Linked DNA regions of Rhinolophus ferrumequinum. The protein of the gene in region 1 binds, or shares a complex with, the protein of each later gene. Links are inferred from orthologs where the notes say so. Each region holds a gene or a part of one and is shown on either strand. Other genes may lie near its edges.

Evidence for each region. The genes of interacting proteins can lie anywhere in the genome.
Region 2: CHCHD3 (region 1) and APOOL share a complex: the UniProt entries of both Homo sapiens proteins name them as parts of the mitochondrial contact site and cristae organizing system (MICOS) complex. The link is inferred for Rhinolophus ferrumequinum from reciprocal best matches to the Homo sapiens genes CHCHD3 and APOOL.
Region 3: CHCHD3 (region 1) and MICOS13 share a complex: the UniProt entries of both Homo sapiens proteins name them as parts of the mitochondrial contact site and cristae organizing system (MICOS) complex. The link is inferred for Rhinolophus ferrumequinum from reciprocal best matches to the Homo sapiens genes CHCHD3 and MICOS13.

Annotation. Positions count from the first base shown.
Region 1 is NC_046309.1:14,136,337-14,143,977, forward strand, and holds the start of CHCHD3 (MICOS complex subunit MIC19), read left to right. Parts: upstream 1-4,555; 5' UTR 4,556-4,768; coding exon 4,769-4,849; intron 4,850-7,641. UniProt on the Homo sapiens protein: Component of the MICOS complex, a large protein complex of the mitochondrial inner membrane that plays crucial roles in the maintenance of crista junctions, inner membrane architecture, and formation of contact sites to the outer membrane.
Region 2 is NC_046284.1:69,669,946-69,677,991, forward strand, and holds the start of APOOL (MICOS complex subunit MIC27), read right to left. Parts: upstream 3,092-8,046; 5' UTR 3,055-3,091; coding exon 3,037-3,054; intron 1-3,036. UniProt on the Homo sapiens protein: Component of the MICOS complex, a large protein complex of the mitochondrial inner membrane that plays crucial roles in the maintenance of crista junctions, inner membrane architecture, and formation of contact sites to the outer membrane.
Region 3 is NC_046301.1:58,423,503-58,430,783, reverse strand, and holds MICOS13 (MICOS complex subunit MIC13), read right to left. Parts: upstream 2,446-7,281; 5' UTR 2,344-2,445; coding exon 2,315-2,343; intron 1,618-2,314; coding exon 1,440-1,617; intron 1,254-1,439; coding exon 1,202-1,253; intron 827-1,201; coding exon 729-826; 3' UTR 592-728; downstream 1-591. Other genes in the region: HSD11B1L (hydroxysteroid 11-beta-dehydrogenase 1-like protein), read left to right, coding at 2,764-2,782, 4,319-4,405, 4,489-4,619, 5,247-5,358, 5,742-5,833, 6,262-6,355, 6,489-6,654, 6,733-6,928. UniProt on the Homo sapiens protein: Component of the MICOS complex, a large protein complex of the mitochondrial inner membrane that plays crucial roles in the maintenance of crista junctions, inner membrane architecture, and formation of contact sites to the outer membrane.

The DNA.
Region 1 (7,641 bases):
ACTAGATGCATGGACAGTGCATGGTCAGTTTTACTTTATCAGTGACGGGATGCTCAAGGGAGACCACGTGATTTGTGTGCCATTAACAGTGGATACTTTCGAAGACACAGAGAGACATTGTTATACGGTATTTGTGAATGATATGTAATCATTGCTGACTTGTTGCATGCCATTTTGGGGTTTTTTATCTCTTCAAGTGTGAGGTTCAAAATTCTTGTATTCAAAATATGTCAGATAAGCACATTCGCACGTGTATACACATGCACGCTCACGCTCACACACACATGCACACACACAAACTACTGTTTTAGAGCTTCATTGTTTTTAGATGATTCTTAATTGCCAGAGAAAGCTTTCAGGCTGATGTCCCGTTATGGCTTATTGAATAAGTCTTAGTCCATATTTCCAGAATGTCTTCATATTGATTGTCTGCACCACATAAGAAGCACTTTTCAGTGATTTTTAATTGGTTTTCTATAACGATGGCAACTATATGTACTAGATTTTCTCGGATGATCCTGGTTTCAAGGACGGATATAATTGTCTCTCTAAGTACATAAATAATAGTCAGAGCATCAGCTCCAGTTTTCATCTCACATAACATGATCATTACATCTATATTTTATTTCAGCCCAGGTCATAGAACCTGAGCACATTACTGTGCCGTTGAAATGCTACTGAGAAGAGATGAGGAGAGCACATCGGTTAGCTTTTCTGGCTGGGGACAAAGACCAGCTCTCTCCTCCCTGATTCCTCATTAGGCCAGGTCACGTTTTTTCTGTTTTTACTCTTCTTACCTATCTCTTCCTACACTCTTAATTAGTATATCAGGGACAGTCAAAGGGTGTGTGAAGAAGAGGAGTCACCAGCATTTTGCCTTCTGCAACTTTTTGTTTAAAGTTATAGGATTGAAAAAAGCAGAGTATATAGTGAAAACCTTCTTCCTACCTTGAGACTTCTGGAATTGTTTGTTTGAGTGCTTTGGAAGTGTACATGGATTTTTTTTCAGGGGAGGAGAGCCTTAGAGATGATTGGAATTTTGACAGCAGAAGCATTTGGTTGTCTGTTTGCAACATTAATTCCAATGGTTTAACATGGTGGGAAAGGAAGACATGGCTCAGGGTGAAGGAGTTGGAAAGTAAGATTGCTTGATAGCGAAGCTATTTGTGAAGCATCAAACGACTGCTTGGTTCTCTGCTTTGCATCAAAGTAAACTGTTGACATCATTCTTTTTACTTAGAGTACTGGTTTCTTGGTTGGAGACTGAAGAAAATACTATGTTGTAGATATTTGGGCAGGTCACATGTGATTAGTAAGATTCTTTGGTAAGGTTACGTGTGCCCCAGAACCTGGGAAAGATGGGACAGCTGGACCTCAGGAAGAGTAGTCACCTTGATAGAGTCGACCATGACAAAAACTTCAGCTGGAAGATCTTTCTGAATTCTAGGCAATTCTAGAAGCTTCTGGAGTTGTGGGTCTTCACTCCAGAGCTCTGTTACTTGTAGGACTATGCTAATTCTTGAAGGTCTGTTTTATTTTAGTCTCCCTTTTTTGTGGCTTATTTTTCTGTACCTCGAAGCGTCTCACATTTTCCTTTGTTTCTTTTTCCTTAAAAACATTTTTATTACCCCCTCCCACCCAAAGAAACCTTGTACCAATTAGAAGTCACTCCCCATCTCACCCTTTCCTTGTCCTTGGCAAACCTAATTTCATTTTCTGTAGATTTGCCCAGTCTAGACATTTCATTTAAATTGAATGGTACAATACGTGGCTTTTTGTGCCTGGCTTCTTTCTCTTGGCCTAACGTTCTCGAGGCTCATCCATATTGTAGCATAAGTCAGTACTTTATTCCTTTTTATTGCAGAATAAATTCCGTTTTCTGGCTACACTACATTTTGTTTATCCAGAAATCAGTTAAGGGACATTTGGGTTTTTAAAATACTATTATAAATGAAGTTGTTTTCTTAATTTAATTTTGGTATGTTAATTGCTAGTGTATAGAAATACAATTAATTCTTGTATGTTGATCCTGTATCCTGCAACCTTGCTAAACTTTATTTATTTTTATTAGTTCTAAGAGCTTTTTAGTAGATTTCTTGGGATTTTTCTATTTATTACATCATATCATTCTGTGAATAGAGATAGTTTTACTTCTTTTCCAGTGGATGTCTTGTATTCTGCTTACAAGTTCTGCTTCCACCTATCTTTAGTATGCTACAATGCGTCATGTTTCTAACTCAGTATCATAGCTTCTCTCTTTGCTATCTTTTTGTATGTTCTGAATTTTCAAGTTTAAATAGAGATAGAGAAAAGGGAAAAAAGACATAGAGAATCTGATTAGCTCAAGTGTTAGTTATTATTTTTGTTTGGGCAAAACTTTGCATTCTAGTTCATAGGTCTCTGGCTAATAAATGCTTCCTTTGGGTTAGAGAATCACTAATAAGCTGAGGTCGGAGAGAAAGGGAGACCACAGGTTCTGGGTATTGCAAGACATTTTCTTTAGAAGGGGATGTAGGCATGGCCTGGCTTTGAAATTGATAGAGAGAGAACAATATTGGTATAGGAGGGATTTTTCCAAGAGTAAGATGTATCCTTTTTTTTTTTTTAATTTCGGAAGGTTTCTTTGTAGGTTGTAATGTTGTTGGTTGAAATAGATTATGAATTCTGAGGTATTTTTATTGAGGTATAATTGACATATAACATGTTAGTTTAAGGTATACAGCATAATGATTGCATATTTGTATTTATTGAGAAATGATCACCACAATAAATCTAGCTAACATTTGTCCATATACATAGTTTCAAACATTTTTTTTCTTCTGATGAGGACTTTCAAGATCCACTACAGTTAAAAATACTGTATTGTATATCTCTTTTTAGATTATCTGATAAGACCTCTTACATGTTTCTGTATCATAAAAAGTGAAGGTACCACACTACTCTTTTATGGTTAGCCTTCATCATATTTATTTGGTTGAATGAACTCTTTTAATATTCTAAGGAGATAAATATATTCAAGATAACTAGTGGTTCCTTCATCTCTGTACTCTCTCTAAGAAACTCTTTGTAATTGGTTATTTTGCAATAACAAAGAAACTCTTTGCAATTGACAAGAATTGATTGAGCAACTGTTTTATGTGGTTGTAATATGTGCTGTAATATTGGGGTAATAAGTGAAGAAGATGTGTTTCTGGAGGGGAGGTTCCAAAGAAGCAAAAGACATAATTCCAAGGATTTTTAGTTCCCTGTAGAAGGAAGGTTAAAACATATTGCACAACTTGAGAACATATACAAAATAACATGTAATCACAAAACTGCAGTACAATTTGGATATACATATGTCAAAAAGAACAAAATGACATGTAATAAATTCAATACTCTGCTACTGACGAGGGATACAGAGATGAAAGAGACTTAGTTTCTGTCCTAAAGATTCTGACAGTAATGACTTAGGACATAACTGTAATTCAAAAATGTTACTGCATTTTTGTGGATAGCTTTGCAATAAGAGGATGCCATGCTGTATTGTGGTTGGCTGCTTTTTAATGTCGAAAGGTACTGAAGATAGTAGCATCATTAACCTAATTTATAAAGAGAATTATACACCTCCATAAGACTAAGGTCATATGGCTAAACTTACATGTCACAGAAGAGTTAGCAAATTTTTTTTTAAAAACTGTGCATGTAGATAACTTGAAAATTATTTACTGGTCTTATAGAGGTGAAATAGAAACTTTCCAAAATAGATTTTCTGAACTTTGTCTGATGTAGTTTTAATTCCTCCGCTAATTTATGCCATCTTTGTCAATCATTTAACTTTTCTCTGCTTCATTAGTATTAAGGCCTAACTAGCTTATGTAACTGAAGTGAAAGGAGACACAAAAAAGTGCTCTGTATGCTTATAAATAATTTATTTTCTGTTTTCTTACAAGCTAATTTGAAAACTATAATATTTAAAATTTTACTTCACAGAAAGAAATTAAACAGTTCATAGTTCATGAAATAAAGCTATAGGCCAAATACAGTGTTTTATTTTTGGGGGGGCGGGGCTAAGACTAAAATAAAGAAATGCGAAATTTTGCTTGAGGGATTTTATAGGAATCTAGCAATGTCTGCACTTGGACAGTGCATTTCCTCATTAAAGTGTGTGTGTGTGTGTGTGTTTGTGTGTGTGTGTGTGTGTGGAGAGAGAGAAAGCGAGAGAGAGAGAGAGAGAGAGAGAGAGAGAGAGAGAGAGAGAGAATTTTTTAACTCACTAGCCTAAATTTTTAGAATACTATCTTCAATGCATGTTTCGTTAAATGAATGAACTTTCTGGAAAGTTGTCCCATTAGAAGCCTTTCGGGTAGTCAAGACCACAACTCCCAGAATGCCACGCTCCTCTTGTGCCCACGGATTAAGACGAGAATGTCCCGTCACCCTTGGCGCCAGGTGGAGACTACAATTCCCAGTATGCCTTGGGGGCTCCGGAAACCTTGTCATATACCACCTGTTGTCATAGTATCCGGGTCCGGGGCAACCAATCCGGGCACCCCTAAGGAGTAGAGGCGGGCCCTTTGTATCTCCCACCAACCGAAGGCATCTTATTGTGGAGCGTGACCGGAGGAGGAGGGAGCTCAGGACCGGCGCCTTCTCCTTGCTTCTTGGGGTCGTGGCCTTGCACCCGCTGTGCGAGGAAAAAGTCCGGGCACGTCCACGCGCGTGTGTGCGCGTGGGGCCTGAGGTGCTCGTGGGTCCACGCTAGGTCTCTGCGGGGACAGAAGAAGCCATGGGCGGGACCGCCAGCACCCGCCGGGTCACCTTCGAGGCGGATGAGAATGAGAACATCACCGTGGTGAAGGGCATCCGGGTGAGTGACAGTGGGCGGGTGGAGGGTCAGCACTCACGCTCGGAACCCAAACCTACGACCTTGCCAGGATCCACACAGCCTGGTTACCCCCACCCGGACCCCCAAGTATTGTCCGATGGGAAGCCGAGTTCTCTGCAAAGAAGCTTGAAATTTCAAGACTTGGGACATTTCATTGAGAGATTTCCTGGTTCTGTGCCAAGTGCTGAGCACAGCTGGGCTAGTGGGGGGTCGCCAGGGTGATTGGACTCTCCAAACGCTCACAGTCTAGTCTTGACTGTATCGCTCACTAGTTGTGGAACTTTATTCGAAACCCCTGCCTCACTGTGCCCATCTGTGAAATGGGACTTGTTTCATTTCTCCTGGCTTCAGGACCCAAACCCTGCTTTTGCACTGCTCTCATCACCTCCGGTGTGGTGAGTTGGGATTTTAATTAACACTTTATCTGTTCTCTGTCAGTTACTATTCTTCCACTCAAACCACCTATGCCTCCAACACGACACCCACGCACCCACCCACCCACCACCCCACCTCACAGACTTTTCTGGCCTGCCTCAGGGGACTTCTGGCTTCTCTGCCCTTCGCGTTTACTGGACATCTTGTCTTTCGCAGGCACCTCCTCTGTGGCCTGCCGCGCCTAAGTTTTGGAGTAGGCCCAGTTGCTTTATGACTAGTGTCTGCCAGCCTGATACGGCTTGAGATAGGATTGCATTTTTTTCAGACATCTAGAAGTATCGCAGTCAGTTCCAACCGAGACATTGTGGAAAAATTTTAAATGTCCCCTGACTGTGCGTGATACATAAACTGAAAACTTGATTTTTCCCAGGGTGTTAGTATCCCAGCACTAAACTTCATTAACACACTCTTCGCTGCACCTGAATTTGGAGCCTCACATTTTTGAAAGTATGCCTGAATCTAGTAAATAACGCACCTTGACTTCTGAAAGTCTTATAATAGTTTATGTTTTTCTTTCTCTGTTATTACACAGCCAGCATTAAGAAAATTTATATGTGTAAATTATTTTTAGCATTTGTTACTAGGAAATAAAACTTCTTAACTAATATTTCAAGTGTTTAAAAAACTTTACTCTGAAACTGTTACCTTGACAAGAATTTATTAAAGTTTTCTTTATAGAAACTCAGACTGTTGAACTCAATTTTTGGTCTTTGAGCAGCATTTCTTTATATCATATTAAAGGTAGTACCACATTTTGTAATAAACCGTCTGAGGGTGCATTCTTTGTGTTGTTGTGCTTTAGTTGGTACTCTTTGGAGTAAAATAAAAATCATTGTAAACTCTTTGAGTTTTTTGTAGAGATGTGTTTAATGTTGCCTTTAGGCATTGTTCCAAACCAGAGAGTGAAAAAGAAATAAAAGTAAGAAAAACCAAAACGAATTTTGAGTGAGAAGACATTGGCTAGAAAAGTGGATAAATCCTTGTTGTCATATTCTAGTAGTATGACAGACACAGTATGACAGCAGACAAAATTAAAAGAGAAGTTAGCCACTGCACAGAGATTCATATCAAATATTAGATAAGGTTAAATAGGATAAGTGTAATAAGGACAGATAGTATATTAAAACGGAAAGGTTTGCTAAAAACGTTATTTTAAAACCGTTTTTTTTTTTTTTTTTTTTTTTTTAACGAAGGAAGCTATGTCCTTTGGCCACTCATCTTAATGGAAGTATTCCTTATTTTTTTTCTCTCTTATGGTATACGTGTGATCTATACCATTTTACAGTTCCAGCATGCAGCGTGCTCATTTTGACCTCCGTACTCTTTTTTTTTTTTTTTTTTTTTTTTTAGCATATACCCTTCACCTGGAATGCCCTTGCACTGTTCCCTGTTGCTTCCAATCCTTCCTTTTCAAGGATGATTTGCAATCTCTGAGCTTCAGCTTTCTCATCTACAAAATGATGGGGCTTGAGTACATCACTCAGATCTCTAATCTTTTCCAGTTGTGAAATTCTGTGAGTCTAGTGGCACTGTAAGTTTCATGTAGTCATCCTCAGCTCGTTGCAGTGTCCTTTAAATATGGCATGCCGTTGAATTGTTGAGTACTCAGGGGTCATTGTGATTTCTTTGAGGTCATGGTTAAAAGAGCATCAACTTAGAGTTAAAAAGACCTGTTTAAATCTCAGCTTAGGCAATTACCAGCCTGAGGCCTATACAAGTCACTGGTCATATGTCCTCATCCTTAAAGGGGAATACCATCACTTCTCTTGATTGTGGTAAGAAGAGGAGGTAAGGTATTTAAAGCACGTGCCACACTGTAGATTTTTAATAAGAGGCAGCTGTTATTTTAGGGTTCCTTCCACATCTAAGATTCTTTGGAAGTTCCGTGTAGTGTAGTGGAAAGAAGAAGTGCTTCAGACCCAGGCAGACCCGGTTTGGTCCTAGCTCTGCTCTCACTAGTGGTCTTTGAGCAGCATTTCTTTTGATTGTGTTTCCCTGTTGAGTATATCTGGATAATGCAGTCTACTTATGATACTTGCGTATTCAGCACTACTTGAGAGAACTTGACATGTGTGTCAGCATCTAACATAGTGTCTAGTACTTTGAGAGAGTGTATTTATATGAGTAGCAGCTGTAAATTAGAGCTATTCAAGGGAGTGAATAAGTAAACTTACATTAACTTAATAGATAAAACTAAAAGCATTTTGTGTTCCCACAGTCATACCTACAGAGGTGTGGATTGGGAAATGGGAGTCCTGAGTTCTGCACCTGATGACCTGTGTGATTTTTGCCTTGGTGTTTTTAGAAGTTTTTCAGCTAATCTGTTTATTTTACTTAGC
Region 2 (8,046 bases), on another chromosome or scaffold:
ATACGTGTCATAGAGATCTAAACAGTATAATAAATACAGAAAACAATACTGCACTATAATTATGTAATGTGATAAATATTGTTACATTGGCAATCACATTACAATATATAAACATATCAAAGTAACAGGCTGAACACCTTAAACTTTCACAATGTTACATGTGAAATTTATTCAATAACAAGAACAGATTAAATTTTTACTTGATTTTTGCTTTCAAACATACCAATTTTAGCTCTATATCCATCTATTCAGGGCACCTATGTTGACCTGAAGACAGCAGAAGAGCTGGATGTTGTTTATGCCACTGCAGTGGAATATAATGGAATCACACTTTCAATAAAGTAAAGGGAAAATATGAAAATGAGAGATTTTATCCTTCTATAGGAATGGTTCTGAAAAACAGTCTAAACCTATATATCAGAGAATAGTCTCATAAAATCATAAAAGCAAACTTATCATATGCATTTTCTTTACATTTTCCCATTCTTTACACAAAGATTAGTCAAACACTATCCTAGGTACTAGGAATAAAAATATAAAAAAAGATATGCTCCTACCTCATCCAAACCCCATCTCTGGGGAAATTCAACATGACTTTTCTAGCCTTGTCTCTGTTCGCTGTTCTCCTTTAGGAATTCTTTGATATAGCTAAACTCAAGCGGTTGTCTTTCTCCACATCATTACCCTTAGGAATACCCTCTCTACTAAACTTCTGGCCATTCTACGGAACTACTAGATGTGGCACTCTTCATGTAGTCTTTCCTAACCCTCTAATTAGACTTGTTTTCTCACTCTGTTTTGAACCCCATAGATTCCATTTTCCTTGAGGACAATAACTGTATCGTAGCAGTGTTGTAGCCAATTTAACCAGCCTTGTATCAAGTACATAAGTTAGTATAAATTAATGACACAAGATCAGATCAAAGTAACCTATCTTTGAACAAATGTAAGTTGTAAGGTCTAAAATATGAAATAATCATATTTATCCATCCTTTAGATTTTTGTTAGGCTTACTTAAAAATCATCACCACTTTTCTAAAGTGTTGAATTTAGAGGTGGGGGTAACAATAAAATATTCAGGATAACCTCTCTATTTATATATCACATGTCATTCCATAGGTTAAAGTTGAAATAAGGCAGCTTTATGACTCAAACATGTCTCTCTCTAAAATTTCTTATGGTTTAAAACACAAGGCTTATGAAATACAACATGGTTAAATGTAGTAAGTCATCAAAAGTACAAATAAAACCAAAATCTATTAGAGATCATTTTGTTGATTTATTTGACACAAAAACTGTCAAATCACATATTTGCTTATTTTTCCCTCAGCCCTGAAATGATATTTTTATTAAAAATAAAAACAAGAAAAATGGCGGCGTGAGGTGAGACTCTGTAAAGCTCCCCTGGAATTTACAACTAATCGAACAACAATAACTCCACAAAGGACTCCCTGCACAGCAGACAGGCAAGACGAAGAGGCCCACTACTGAATTCACTGAAAGGTGGGCGAATCAAGCGAGCGGGGTAGAAGGGAAGGGAGACGTGCGGAGACGGAGCTGCGCGGGCGGGCGCAGGACACACACCTAGTTCAGTGTCCGAGCTCGCTGCTTCCCGGAACTACCGCAGCTGCGGGAGAGGGAAGAACTCGGACTGCTAGGGCTCCGCATATGGCCCACAGGGCTGAGGGGGCAGCATATAACACGGATGAACCCAATGTTCACGGCAGAGACCTTGGAGGAAAGACTGAGGGCAGAAGGCTGAAAACAGTGGTTTAAGCCCTCACTGCCAAGCAGAGAACGGAGCCTTAGGCACTGAGACTAGCCGGCCCTCCCTACCCTCCCACAGATCGCCCTGCCCCCACCTGCCCAGTAATAGAAGAGGAACACTAGCAGTGTCAGAATAAAAGAACAGAATATTTGATGTTCTGAGAACTGTGGACCACAGACACAGATTCGCAGCCCAACTAGTTCTGGCAAAGGGGAGGGAGCTGCGGAAGCAGGACCAGCTATGATGGTGGTCGCCGCCATTGCTCTGGGCCACCTCTCACAACTCACCCCGCCCCTGGCCCCACCTATCTGGGCAGATCCCTGCAGGAGTAAACAGAACAGCTGAAACATACGGGCTCTGAATCAGGTGCGGGAAGAGTTTTGGAACTTCAAAAGCTCTCCGCATACCCATACAGACACTGCGCCCTGTGACCCAAGCGAACTATTAACAGAGGAGAAGCCCATCTCCCAGGAAATCCCCCCATTGTGTAAGAAGCTGGAATAGTGCAGAGAAAACAAAGCACTACCGGGTGAGCGAAGAAAAAGGCTGCAGTCGGAGAGAAAATAAAATATTCTACCAACAAGTACTGAAAAACTAAAGAAAGACCTCTTCCTATCAACCTGATGCAGAAGTCACTCCTGCAGATGTCTAGGAAGAGAAAAAATAAATCAGTAATCGCCATGAATAACCAAGGCAGCAAGACAGCTCAGAAAGAAAGTGAAAAGTCTCCAGAAAATGAAGTTAAAGATATGGAAATATGTGACTTAAATGACAGAGAATTCAAGATTGCAGTTCTGAAAAAACTCAACGAGATCCAAGAAAACACAGAAAGGCAGTTTAATGATCTCAGAAACACAATCAAAGAACAACATGAGCATTTTACGAAAGACATTGAAATTTTAAAAAAGAACCAAACAGAATTTCTGGAAATTAAACACTTAATAGAAAAAGTTAAGAATGAAACAACCAGCTTAGGTGGCAGAGTTGCCCAGATGGAGGAAAGAATCAGTGACATCGAAGATAGAAACATGGAAATTACACAGCTGGAAGAAGAAAGAGACTTGAGACTTAAAAGAAATGAAAGACCTCTACAAGAACTTTCTGACTCCATCACAAACACCAATATAAGAATAATGGGTATACCAGAAGGAGAAGAAAGAGAGAAGGGAACAGAGAATATATTCAAACAAATTGTTGATGAGAACTTCCCAAACTGGTGGACAGCACTGGATCCTAAAATCCAAGAATCAAATAGAACACCTAATTACCTCAATCCCACAGGACATCTCCAAGGCACATTGTATTGAAGCTGTCTAAAATCAACGACACAGAAAGAATCCTCAAGGCAGCCAGGGAAAAGAAGACGGTCACCTACAAAGGAAAGCCCATTACATTATCATCAGATTTTTCAAACAGACACTCTACAAGCCAGGAGGGAGTGGAACCAAATATTCTAACTATTGAAAGAGAAAAACTGTGAGCCAAGAATAGTACATCCAGCAAACATATCCTTTAGATATGAAGGAGGAAGAAAGACCTTTCCAGACGTACAAAAGCTGAGGGAATTTTCTAATACACGACCTGCCCTACAAGAAATACTAAAGGAGGCTATTCGACCACCACCAACAGGGACAATTTGTGGCAACCGAAACATAAAAAGGGGGACAGTAAAGGCCTGAACCAGAATATGGGAATGGAGAAAGTAAGCGTGCTGAAGAAAATGGAATACTCTAAATATCAAACTTACTTTTACATAAACTTAAGGAGAACCACTCAAAAAAAAAATCCAGAACTGAAATATATAGTGTAATAAAAGAAGAAACAGAGGGAAATATCATAGAATACCACCACACAGAAATAATAGACAACAACAGAAAGGCAAAGAAACAATGGAGACACAGCCTTACCAAAAAACTAAAGATAGAATGACAGGAAATCCTCCCATATCAATAATCACCCAAAATGTAAATGGACTGAATTCACCAATAAAAAGGCACAGAGCAGCAGATTGGATCAAAAAAATTAAACCCAAACATATGCTGTCTCGAAGAGACACATCTCAGCTACAAGGACAAGCATAGACTCAAAGTGAAAGGGTGGAAATTGACACTCCAAGCAAATGGTACCCAGAGAACATCAGGTGTAGCCATAATGATATCAGATGAAACAGACTTCAGGGTGAAAAAGATAACAAGAGACAAAGATGGACATTTCATAATGATAAAGGGGACTATACAACAAGAAGACGTAACAGTCATCAATATTTACGCCCCAATCAGGGAGCACCGAAATATACCAAGCAACTGCTAAATGAACTAAAGGGAGAAATTGACCAAAACACAATTATATTAAGGGACTTAAATACATCATTGACAGCTATGGATACATCATACAAACAGAAAAAAAAAATAATAAAATAGCAGCCCTAACTGACACATTAGATGAAATGGACATAATTGACATATATAGAGCACTTCATCCTAAAACATCAGACTATACATTCTTTTCTAGTGTACATGGAACATTATCAAAGATAGACCATATATTGGTACATAAAATCAGACTCAGCAAATTTAAGAAGATTGAAATCATACCAAGCATATTCTCTGATCACAAGGCTTTGAAATCAGATATGAACTGCAAAAAGAAAGCAGGAAAAAACACAAATACATGGAGATTAAACAACATAATTTTAAAGCACGACTGGGTCAAAGAAGAAATTAGAGGAGAGATCAAAAGATACATAGAAACAAATGAGAATCAAAATACATCCTACCAAAATTTTTGGGATGCAGCCAAAGCAGTTTTAAGAGGGAAATTTAGTGTCATTACAGGCCTATCTCAAGAAACAAGAAAAATCCCAAATAAATAACCTCATGTTACACCTTAAAGAACTAGAAAAAGAAGAACAAGTGAAACCCAAGCTCAGAAGAAGAAAAGAAATAACAAAAATTAGAGCGAAACAAAATGAAATAGAGAACAAAAAGACACTAGAAAAAACTAATGTGACAAAGAGCTGGTTCTTTGAAAAGATTAACAAAACTGACAGACCCTTGGCTAGACTCACTAAGATAAAAAGAGAAAAAACGCTAATTAACAAAATCAGAAATGAAAAAGGGGAAGTTATCACGGACACCACAGAAATACAAAGGATCATTCAAGAATACTATGAAGGGCTATATGCCACCAAATTCAATAACCTAGAAGAAATGGACAAGTTCTTAGAAACCTATAGCCTTCCAAGGCTGAACCATGAAGAACTGGAAAATCTAAACAGACCGATCACCAGTAATGAAATTGAATCAGTCATCCATAACATCCCTAAAAGCAAAAGTCCGGGACCAGATCGCTTCACTAGTGAATTCTACCAAACCTTCAAAGAGGATCTAATACCGATCCTGCTCAAACTCTTCCAAAAAATTGAAGAAGAGACAGTACTCCCTAACTCATTTTATTAGGCCAACATTAACCTGATACCAAAACCTGGTAAGGACAGCACAAAAAAAGAAAACTACAGACCAATATGTCTGAAGAATACAGATGCAAAAATCCTATACAAAATTCTAGCTAATCTAATATAACAATGCATTAAAAAGATCACTCATCATGACCAAGTGCGGTTCATCCCCGGGGTACAAGGATGGTTCAACATCCGCAAATCCATCAATGTGATACATCACATAAACAAAATAAAGGACAAAAATCATATGATTATATCAATTGATGCAGAAAAAGCATTTGACAAGATACAACATCCATTTATGATTAAAACACTTAATAAAATAGGTATAGAAGGAAAATACCTTAACATCATAAAGGCCATATATGACAAGCCCTCAGCTAATCTCATAATTAATGGTGAAAAACTGAAGCCCTTTGCTCTATGTTCAGGAACACCACAGGGCTGTCCCCTGTCACCTCTGCTTTTCAACATAGTGTGGAAGTCCTTGCCAGAGCAATCAGGCAAGAGAAAGAAATAAAAGGCATCCACATTGGGAATGAAGAAGTTAAATTATCACTCTTTGCAGATGACATGATGGTATATATAGACAATCCTAAAGACTCCACCAAAAAGCTATTAGAAACAATCAACGAATACAGTAAAGTTGCTGGCTACAAAATCAATGTACAAAAGTCCATTGCATTCCTATATACTAACGATGAAATCTCAGAAAAAGAAATGCAAAAAACAATTCCTTTTGCAATTGCACCAAAAAGAATAAAATACCTAGGAATAAACTTAACTAAGGATGTGAAGGACCTATATGCTGAAAACTATAAGACATTTTTGAAAGAAATTGAAGAAGACACAAAGAAATGGAAAGACATTCCGTGCTCATGGATTGGAAGAATTAACATAGTTAAAATGGCCATATTACCCAAAGCAATATACAGATTTAATGCAATCCCCATCAAAATCCCAATGGCGTTTTTTAAAGAAATAGAACAAAAACTCATCAGATTTGTTTGGAACCACAAAAGACCCCGAATAGCAAAAGCAATCTTAAGAAAAAAGAACAATACAGGAGGTATCACACTCCCTGACTTTAGCTTGTACTACAGGGCTACAATAATCAAAACAGCATGGTATTGGCAGAAAAACAGACACACAGACCAATGGAATAGAACTGAGAACCCAGAAATAAAACCACATAAATATGGACAGTTAATTTTTGACAAAGAAGCTAAAAACATACAATGGAGGAAAGACAGCCTATTCAATAAATGGTGCTGGCAGAATTCGAAAGCCACGTGCAAAAGAATGAAACAGGACTGCTATCTGTCACCATGTACCAAAATTAATTCAAAATGGATCAAAGACTTAAACATAAGAGCTGACACAATAAAGTGCGTAGAAGAAAACATAGGTACTAAACTTATGGACCTTGGGTTTAAAGAGCATTTTATGAATTGGACTCCCAAGGCAATGGAAGTAAAAGCTAAAGTAAACGAATGGGACTATATGAAACTTAAAAGCTTCTGCACAGCAAAAGAAACCATCGACAAAATAAAGAAGCAACCAAGTGAATGGGAGATTTTTGCAAACAGTGCCTCCAATAAGGGGCTAATATCCAAAATATACAAGGAACTCATGAAACTCAACAACACAAAAACAAACAACCCAATTGAAAAAGGGGCAGAGGACCTGAAGAGACATTTCTCCAAAGGGGACATAGAAATGGCAAGTAGACATATGAAAAAATGCTCAACATCACTAATCATCAGAGAAATGCAAATAAAAACCACAATGAGATATCACCTCACCTCAGTCAGAATGGCTATCATCAACAAGACAAATAGTAACAAGTGTTGGAGAGGCTGTGGAGAAAAAGGAATCCTCATACACTGTTGGTGGGAATGCAGACTGGTGCAGCCATTATGGAAGGGATTGTGGAGGTTCCTCAAAAAATTACTAATAGAATTACCATATGACCCAGCAATCCCTCTCCTGGGTATCTACCCAAAAAATCTGAAAACATCTACACATAAAGACACGTGTGCTCCAATGTTCATTGCAGCTTTGTTTACGGTGGACAAGACATGGAAACGACCAAAATGTCCTTCAATAGATGAATGGATAAAGAAGTTGTGGTATATATACACAATGGAATATGTTTCGGCGGTAAGAAAAGATAGAGCAACATTTGTGACAACATGGATGGATCTTGAGAGTATAATGCTAAGCGAAATAAGTCAGACAGAAGTAGCAGAGAACCATAGAATATCACTGATATGTGGTATATAAACCAAAAACAACAAAAGAACAAGACAGACAAATAAGAAAGAAGAACTCATAGACACAGACAATAGTTTAAGTGGTTACCAGAGGGTAACGGGGCTGGGGTGTGGGAGATGGGGGTAAGGGGGATCAAATATATGGTGATGGAAGGAGAACTGACTCCGGGTGGTGAACACACAATGGGATTTATAGATGATGTAATACAGAATTGTACACCTGAAATCTATGTAATTTTACTAACAATTGGTCACCGCAATAAATTAAAAAAAGAAAAAAATAATAATAATAGTAAATTATACTTTAAGAAAACCAAAACCCTAAAAAAAATTAAAAAATAAATAATAAATAAAATTAAATCAAAAAGTATCAACTGGGAAAAATTATAAAGCCCGTTACTTTCATTATAAACGTAAGTCTGCTTTCTGTGGTAGTTATGCACTATCACCCTGCGTTTTTCTAAAATAATATCCATGAAAGTATTTGAATAGCAGTTTTATTCTACTTTAACAACACTATGGGGACACACGATGAGCAAGTA
Region 3 (7,281 bases), on another chromosome or scaffold:
TCCAGAGCTCCAGCCCGACGGGGCAGACACATTCAGGTCACGAGGCAGCTGGCCCAGTGTGGGACAGGGGTGTCAGGGAAGGTTTCCGAGGGGAGCAGAGCACTTCCAGGAGATGAGGTCAGGACAGCAAAGCCCTTGGGGGTTGGGGAGACCCCAGTACATGGCAATGACCTCCAGGCCTGTGCTCCCCAGGAATCCCAGGTTGGGGGGAGCGTGGAATGAGAATAAAGACTAGGTAAAAGTGGGCGTGTAACCAGCACAGGAGATGAAGTCTGCCCACTCCACCAAGCGCTCGCTCCCAGAATGCCCCACCCTGGGTTCAGCCCTCCAAGAACTGAGACCCCCCCAGCCCAGGCTGGTCTTCAGCACTTTCTCAACCCTTTTCCGAGGCACTGAGCACTGGGGCCCATTGTCTGCTCCCACTCCCCACACCAGGTGGGGGCCCTAGCAGGTAGGGATCAGACAGCAAACGTAAGAACCATGGCCTGGGGTCAAGATCAGGCCCTGAGGAGCCTCCCGAGCTGGAAGGCCAGGGCCCCATGCTCTAAGCATCACCTGGGCCACCCCAGGCCCCTGGGGCAGGCACACAGGTCAGGGAACACTTCCGAAGTCCTTTATTGGGCGGCAAGGTTAGGAGCTGCCCTCAGAGTGGGGTCCCAGTCTGGAGGCTTGAGGTCCACGGCACCCCTGCCCCTGTTTCTGAGGGACAGGCGGGCTCCTCTGACAGGCTACTTGATTCGCTCCTTCAGGTATTCCCAGCCCTCCTTGGTGTATTCGCAAGCCTTGGATGGGGCCACCGACAGGGCAGACATCACTGTAATGATGCCTGTGGGGAGGGAGGGAGGACACGCACCTGTGAGGTTCCCCACCTATAGCCAAGGGGTTTAGTACAACCCCCAGGACACCCAACTCAGCCATGCTTGTGGAGGCACCACTTCTAGCTCTGTGAATTCCACACGGAGAAACTGAGGCAGAGGAGGGGCAGGGCCTCGCCTTGTCTGACACCACCCAACCCCGATGTGCTCCCATGTGGCCTCAGCTCTCACAAAGCAGCCCTATGTGCTCCCACTTCCCTGGAACCCCCACCTTTCTGTTTCAGACCGTGGAGGCACACACAACAGTTAAAGGAGCAATGGAAAGGCACGCCAGGGAGCAGGGCGGGGACCTGGGCCACCCCCGAGGCAGAGGGACCAAGGCCTACCTGAATTCCAGGACTCACGGATGTTAAAGTTAAACTTTGGAGGGGCTGGGAGCTGGGAAGAGACAGGGGAGAGGGCCTGGTGAAAGGGGAAGGGCCCGGCAGCCCCAGCTTCCCTCAGAGGCAGGGAGGGCGGCACACGCCCCAGTGTGGAGGGCTCCCAGCAGGGATGGAGGGACCAGGGACAGAAGGCCACCCCAGAATTGACAGCCCCCTCCCGCCAAGCCTCAGCGCGGGGTACCTGGGGTATCTTCAGGCCTGTCTGCTCGCACACGTACTGGCTGAACTGGTACATGGCTGGCGGTACCACTTCCTCAGCCTTCTGAAGGGCCGCATGGCTCTTGTCGCTGGGCCCCAGCAGCTGCTGGTCATACACCAGGTAGACCACGCCCCCAGCCACAGTGCCCTTGATGAGAAACCTGCAAACAGGGAAGGGAACAACAGCGGCTCAGGAAACACTGCTGGGCACCCTCTGAGGCCTAGGCCCACCTGAGGAGGAGTTAGACCCCCAGGGGGCCCCACAGTCCAAAGAGTGCCACACCTGAAGCCAAGCAGCGAACAGAAGCACACGGCACCTTGCTAGCCCAGAGGCGTGCCTGCCGGCCACGATGCACAGCACCCCACTTAGTGTGCAAAGCAGGGCTACTCCGCCCCAATAACTGGTAAACTGAGGCCCGCATAGGGACAGTGGGTCACTCGTGATCCCGCAGAGAGCAGGGAACAATAAAGGCTTAAGTCCTCCGACTTCCTGCCTTCCACCCCGGGAGGGACTCTCCGCCAGCAACCTGCAAGGGTTTTCCAAGTGCCCCTGGTCGCTTCCTGTATGTCCTACGCCGGTCTGGGCGTGCATTAACCTCCCAATAAATGGCGTGTGGCACTCCCATTTTACAGAGGAGGCAACTGAGGATCGGAGAGATCTTGGATAGAGAGACGGGAAGCAACGGCTCGCGCGACCTGGGGAATCCCCTCCCCGCTTGAACCTCAGTTTCTCCATTTGGGCGACAGGGCACCTGACACTACCGGATGCGAAGAGCAGGTCGGGAGCAAACCAGAAAGGGGTGTCCGTAGGAGAGGAATTTCTCGGGGGCTCAGGGCCCGCCCAGCGGCCCCACGCACCTCATCAGCGACCACACTCGGGACACCATAGTCACTCGGTTCCGCGCGCAAGGACACTCGGCTTGCCCGCCGCTTCCGGTCACGGAGCCGCAGAGGCTTCTGGGAAGCGTAGTTTCGCTTGTCAGCCGCAAAGGCCTCTGGAGGTCGGAGTCTCGTTACGACTCCGAGACGACGGAGATTGCGGTCCCACCAGGAAAGAACTCATTAAAGCGTAGTCTTCCGGGCCGGGCCGCCGCAAAGCTGTCTGGGAAATGTAGTTCTGCCTTGGAGCCGTGAGAGGAGAGGGGAGTTGGAGTGAGGCCCGAGGGTGACCCAAGAAGATGTCGGAGTCCGGAAGATCCACCCCCCGCGCGAAGAATTCACGCCGGGGCCTAAGAAGAGCGTGCCTAGAAGCTAGTTTTCACGACAACGCGAGGGCGGGAATTGTTCGAGAGAGGCGGGTCTAAGTCATGTCGTCGGACTTGACGGGTGGGTTTTCCGTCCACGGGGCGGAGCCAGGGCTTAGTCTGGGAGCCGGAGAGCCAGCAGGAGGCGGTTGCCCGGCAACGCCCGGGCGCGGAGTCCCAGCGGCCTGGCCCCTCCCGGGGAGGAGGTGGGTTCGGAGCCACGTGACTCAGGTTCTACCAGAGGGGTCGCGGTGGGGGGCCCGACCGGCCAGGGCCGTGAAGGGATACCAGAAGGGCGTACGCGTGGCTTCCAGTGCGGACCCCTAGCCCCGGTGGACAGCGGGAGAAACTGAGGCCCGAGTGGGTGAGTGTGCGATTGTGAGTGCGGAATGGGTCGGACGCCCCCTTTGTCCAGCGGGGAAACTGAGGCCCGGCGAAGTCAGGTGGCCAGTGGATTCTGCGAGGATCTGGTTCCTCCATTCCATCCCCATCGCAGCCGGGCTGCTTCATGCATACATCCATCCTTCTTCCCACCCACTCACCCATCCATCCAACCCTGCTTCGCCCTGTGGGGCTGCTGGAGGTCGGAGTCTCGTTACGACTCCGAGACGACGGAGATTGCGGTCCCACCAGGAAAGAACTCATTAAAGCGTAGTCTTTATGCTATGGTCAAGACCAGGGTTGGTAAGAGGGTTGAGCTGAGGGGCTTCACGAGCTCTTTCCTCCTGGAAGTGAAGGAAGTGGGAGCGCGTTCCCTGCTGAGGAAATGGCTGGCATGACTGGGGAAAGGTGAGGAGTTCACTTTTCTGAGAACTGATTAATTGACAGGAGTAGGGGAAGATGAGAATCGACAGGTGGGCAGAGGGCAGCCTGCTCGGCCTTGTGGGCAGTGAGGAACTTGGTTTCCATTGGGGGCAGTGGCGAGCCCTTGGGGGGGGGGGTTTGGAGCAGGAAGGGGCACTCCAGATTTCTTTTGACAAAGATCCCTTTGGCTGCATGAAGAATAAAGCGTGGGAGGAAGGGAGTGTGAAGATGGGGGAGCCGGGGAGGAGGCAGCTGGAACGTTGTAGTGGGGACAAAGGATATAGGGCTGGATCTAGAGACTGAAGTTATGGGGACGCCCCAATCCCACCACTTGTCAGCCCCATGGGTCCTGGAAGGTCCTCTCTCCTCTTTGTCCCACTGAGTCCAGAGGTGTGATGGGCCTGTGCCCTTTTTAGGGGAGACCCGTGACTCCCCGAACTTTTAATCACCTAACCTGTTTCTTACCTTCTCCCTGGAACAAGTAAATCACTCTCACAGCTGAAGTCACGTCTTAACCTTAATGACTTGTCTCCAACCCAGCCCTGAGTGTCCAGTTCCTTCTGGGTGTCTCTGGACAGAGTGGTCTTTTGGGGTTCCCCCAGCTCTTGCCTTCCACATTCCTCATATCACTCTATGTCACTGTGTTATCTATTGGCGCAGTGGTTCAGGTGAGCTGTATGGTGACCTGGACCAGGTGGTGGCTGTGGAGATGGAGGAGAGGGCCAGGAAGATCTTCTTTGAACAAAGGTGCAGTTGGGGGAAAGGGTGTGGCTGTGGGCCAGGCCTGTGCTGGCCATCCTTTCTCCCGCTGCAGACCCAGGGAGGGCCATGAAGGTCCTGCTCCTTACCGTGCTGGGAGCCCTGTTCTTCGCCTATTATTGGGCTGACAACTTCGACCCAGGTGAGTACCTGGGGTGGGAGAGGTAGGAATGGGACTGGCTGTCCTGTGCACCTTCTAGGCTGACCACCCCTTCTCACTACCAGCCAGCCTCCAGGGAGCCCGTGTGCTGTTAACAGGGGCCAGTGCAGGTGTCGGGGAGGAGCTGGCATATCACTATGCCCGCCTGGGCTCCCATCTGGTGCTCACTGCCCACACTGAGGCCTTCCTGCAGAAGGTGAGACACCCCATTTTGAGTTTATTGGTGGGGGTGGGGGTAGAATGGAAAATGGGTACTGGGTTTGAATCCCTGCAAAGATCCAGGCTTCCTGTGTGACATTTGGCAAATTGCTTAACCTCTCTGAGCCTTAGTTTCCTCATTTGCAAAACGGAGATAATAAAAGTACCTTCTCATGTGTTATGGTGTTGGATGGATGCAGTAAGACAGTGAGTGTAAAGCAAGAAGTGTTCCTCAGTAAATGGGAATATTGGTAGTGTCCAAAGCCTGTGACATAGCCAGGGTTCTGAAACGCAAAAGGGAGGTGGGTGGACATTTCTCAGCAACAGAATGTTCCAAGGAAATGTACAGCTCTTGGAAACAAACCTTCCAGAATTTCAAGAGGGGCCAGAAACCTTGAGATTTATTTGAAATCTGCTGAATTTTAAATGTTGGTAATTGAGCAAATAAAATGACCCCTATTCTGTCTGGCGAGCTGCCAAGTTTGTGACCCCAGTGGTAAAGCGTTGGGAATGGAATAGGAGGCTTAGTGGGGGAGGGGGCTTCAGGTGGGGGCCCCAGTGTGTCGTGCAGGTGGAGGGGGCCAGCTGGGGTGGAGGGGCCCACGGGCAGCTCTGGCCCCCCCAGGTGGTAGGGAACTGCCGGAAGCTGGGCGCTCCCAAGGTCTTCTACATCGCTGCGGACATGGCCTCCCCTGAGGTGCCCGAGCGCGTGGTGCAGTTTGCGCTGGACAAGCTGGGTGAGGGGCGGGGCCTGGAGTCTGGGACCTTGGCCTAGGCCTTAAGGACAAGACCCAGCTGGGGTGGGGGTGTGGTAGTAACGCGTGTCTGTGGGCGGCGACTTAAAAGGCTCTGGGGTTGTGGTTAGGGGTGGGGCCTCATTGTATCGAAGGGGCGGAACTCTGGACCGGGCCCCATTCAATTAGCGATGAAGCCTGCAGGATCCAGGGAGTAAGGCGGGGTCCCTTTGATCTTGTGGAGCGCTACCTAAGGCGGAGCTGCTTGGGTCAATACTCTGGGCGGAGCTTTGCTAGTTTAAAGGACGGGGATAGGGAGGGGTCTCATCTGGTCAAGGGGGTGGAGCCTCAAAGACTGGCTCCTGGCTGATGGGCCTCTGGGATAGGTGGGCTGGACTACCTCGTGCTGAACCACCTCGGTGCCGCCCCGGCAGGCACTCCGGCCCGCAGCACCCAGGCGACACGCTGGCTTATGCAGGTGCTCCGCCCCTTCTCGGCCCCGCCCCCTCAGTCCTGCCTCCGCTCTCCCGGGACGACACTGTTTCTCCTATTCCCAGGTCCCATCTCTAGGGATGCTAGGTTCCACCTGCTTTCAACTTTGTCTACACCCACGGATCGGCCCTCCAGTCCTTCCTTCCCAGACTCCACCCTCTTCCCCTATTCCTCTTCGGGCCCTGCCCCTCTCTGCCCCTTGCTCCGCACCTTCTGGTTCCAGGCTCCACCCTCTCTAGGCTTTGGCCCCGCCTCTGGCCTTGAGCTCCAGCTCTTCCAACCGGGACTCCGCCCCGACCCTCGGGCACGCCTTTCCCTAACCAGCCCCGCCCCCAGGTTTATAGGGTCCTCCCCCTGCCTCTTCTGGGCTTGGTTTTCCTTGTCCGCTGCGTGACTCTCAGTCGTCGCTTCCAGGTGAACTTCCTGAGTTACGTGCAACTGACATCCTTGGCGCTGCCTAGTCTGACGGACAGCAAGGGCTCCCTGGTGGTGGTGTCCTCACTGCTCGGTGCGTGCATGAGGGGCAGGGAGTGGGAATGCTACAGGCCTCCATGCAGGCGAGCCTGGATGGTGGAGGAAGGCTTCCTGGAGGAGTGGGAGCGGCGTGTGGCTGCTCAGCAGCTGCCGTCCCGCGCCCCCAGGCCGTGTGCCCACGTCCTTCTCCAGCCCCTATTCGGCGGCCAAATTCGCCCTGGACAGCTTCTTCGGCTCCCTGCGGCGGGAGCTGGACGTGCAGGACGTGAATGTGGCCATCACCATGTGCATCCTGGGACTCCAGGATCGCTCCTCCGCTGCCGAGGGTATCAGGTAAGGCCAGGGGCTCGAGCCGGGGGCTGGGGGCGCCCAGCCTCAGCTGCAGTCCCCACCACTCCCTCCCATCCCCAGGGGTGTCACAAGGGCCAAGGCGGCCCTGGGGCCCAAGGCAGCCCTGGCTGTGATCCGCGGAGGTGCCACGCGTGCCTCTGGTGTCTTCTACCCATGGCGCTTTCATCTGCTTTGCCTGATCCGGGCTTGGCTGCCACGCCCGAGGGCCTGGTTCATCCGCCAGGAGCTCAACATCACTGCTGCCGCCACTGCCTGAGCTCCTGGGGGTGGAGCCCCTTTATCTTCTTAGAGGGGGACCGTCCATCCATCCGTCCTGAAGCTGGGACATAAACCGAGACACCTCTGAGAAAGTGGCCCCGGCCCAAGACAGAAAAGGAAAACCGAGGAAAACTACCAGCACCTGGAAACAATGAAAACTCCAGTGTGAGAGTGGTGACTGTGCCAGTACCTGGTCAAGGACTTGAAAGGCATTAACTCAATCTTCTCGGATGATCGCTGCTTCCATTTCGCAGATGAGAAAACTGGGGCTTAGGCTCAGAGAGGTGATGTGTCTTGCCCCAGCGCCCTGGCCACATCAAACAGGTCGCATCATTGCTGAGCCACCCTTGG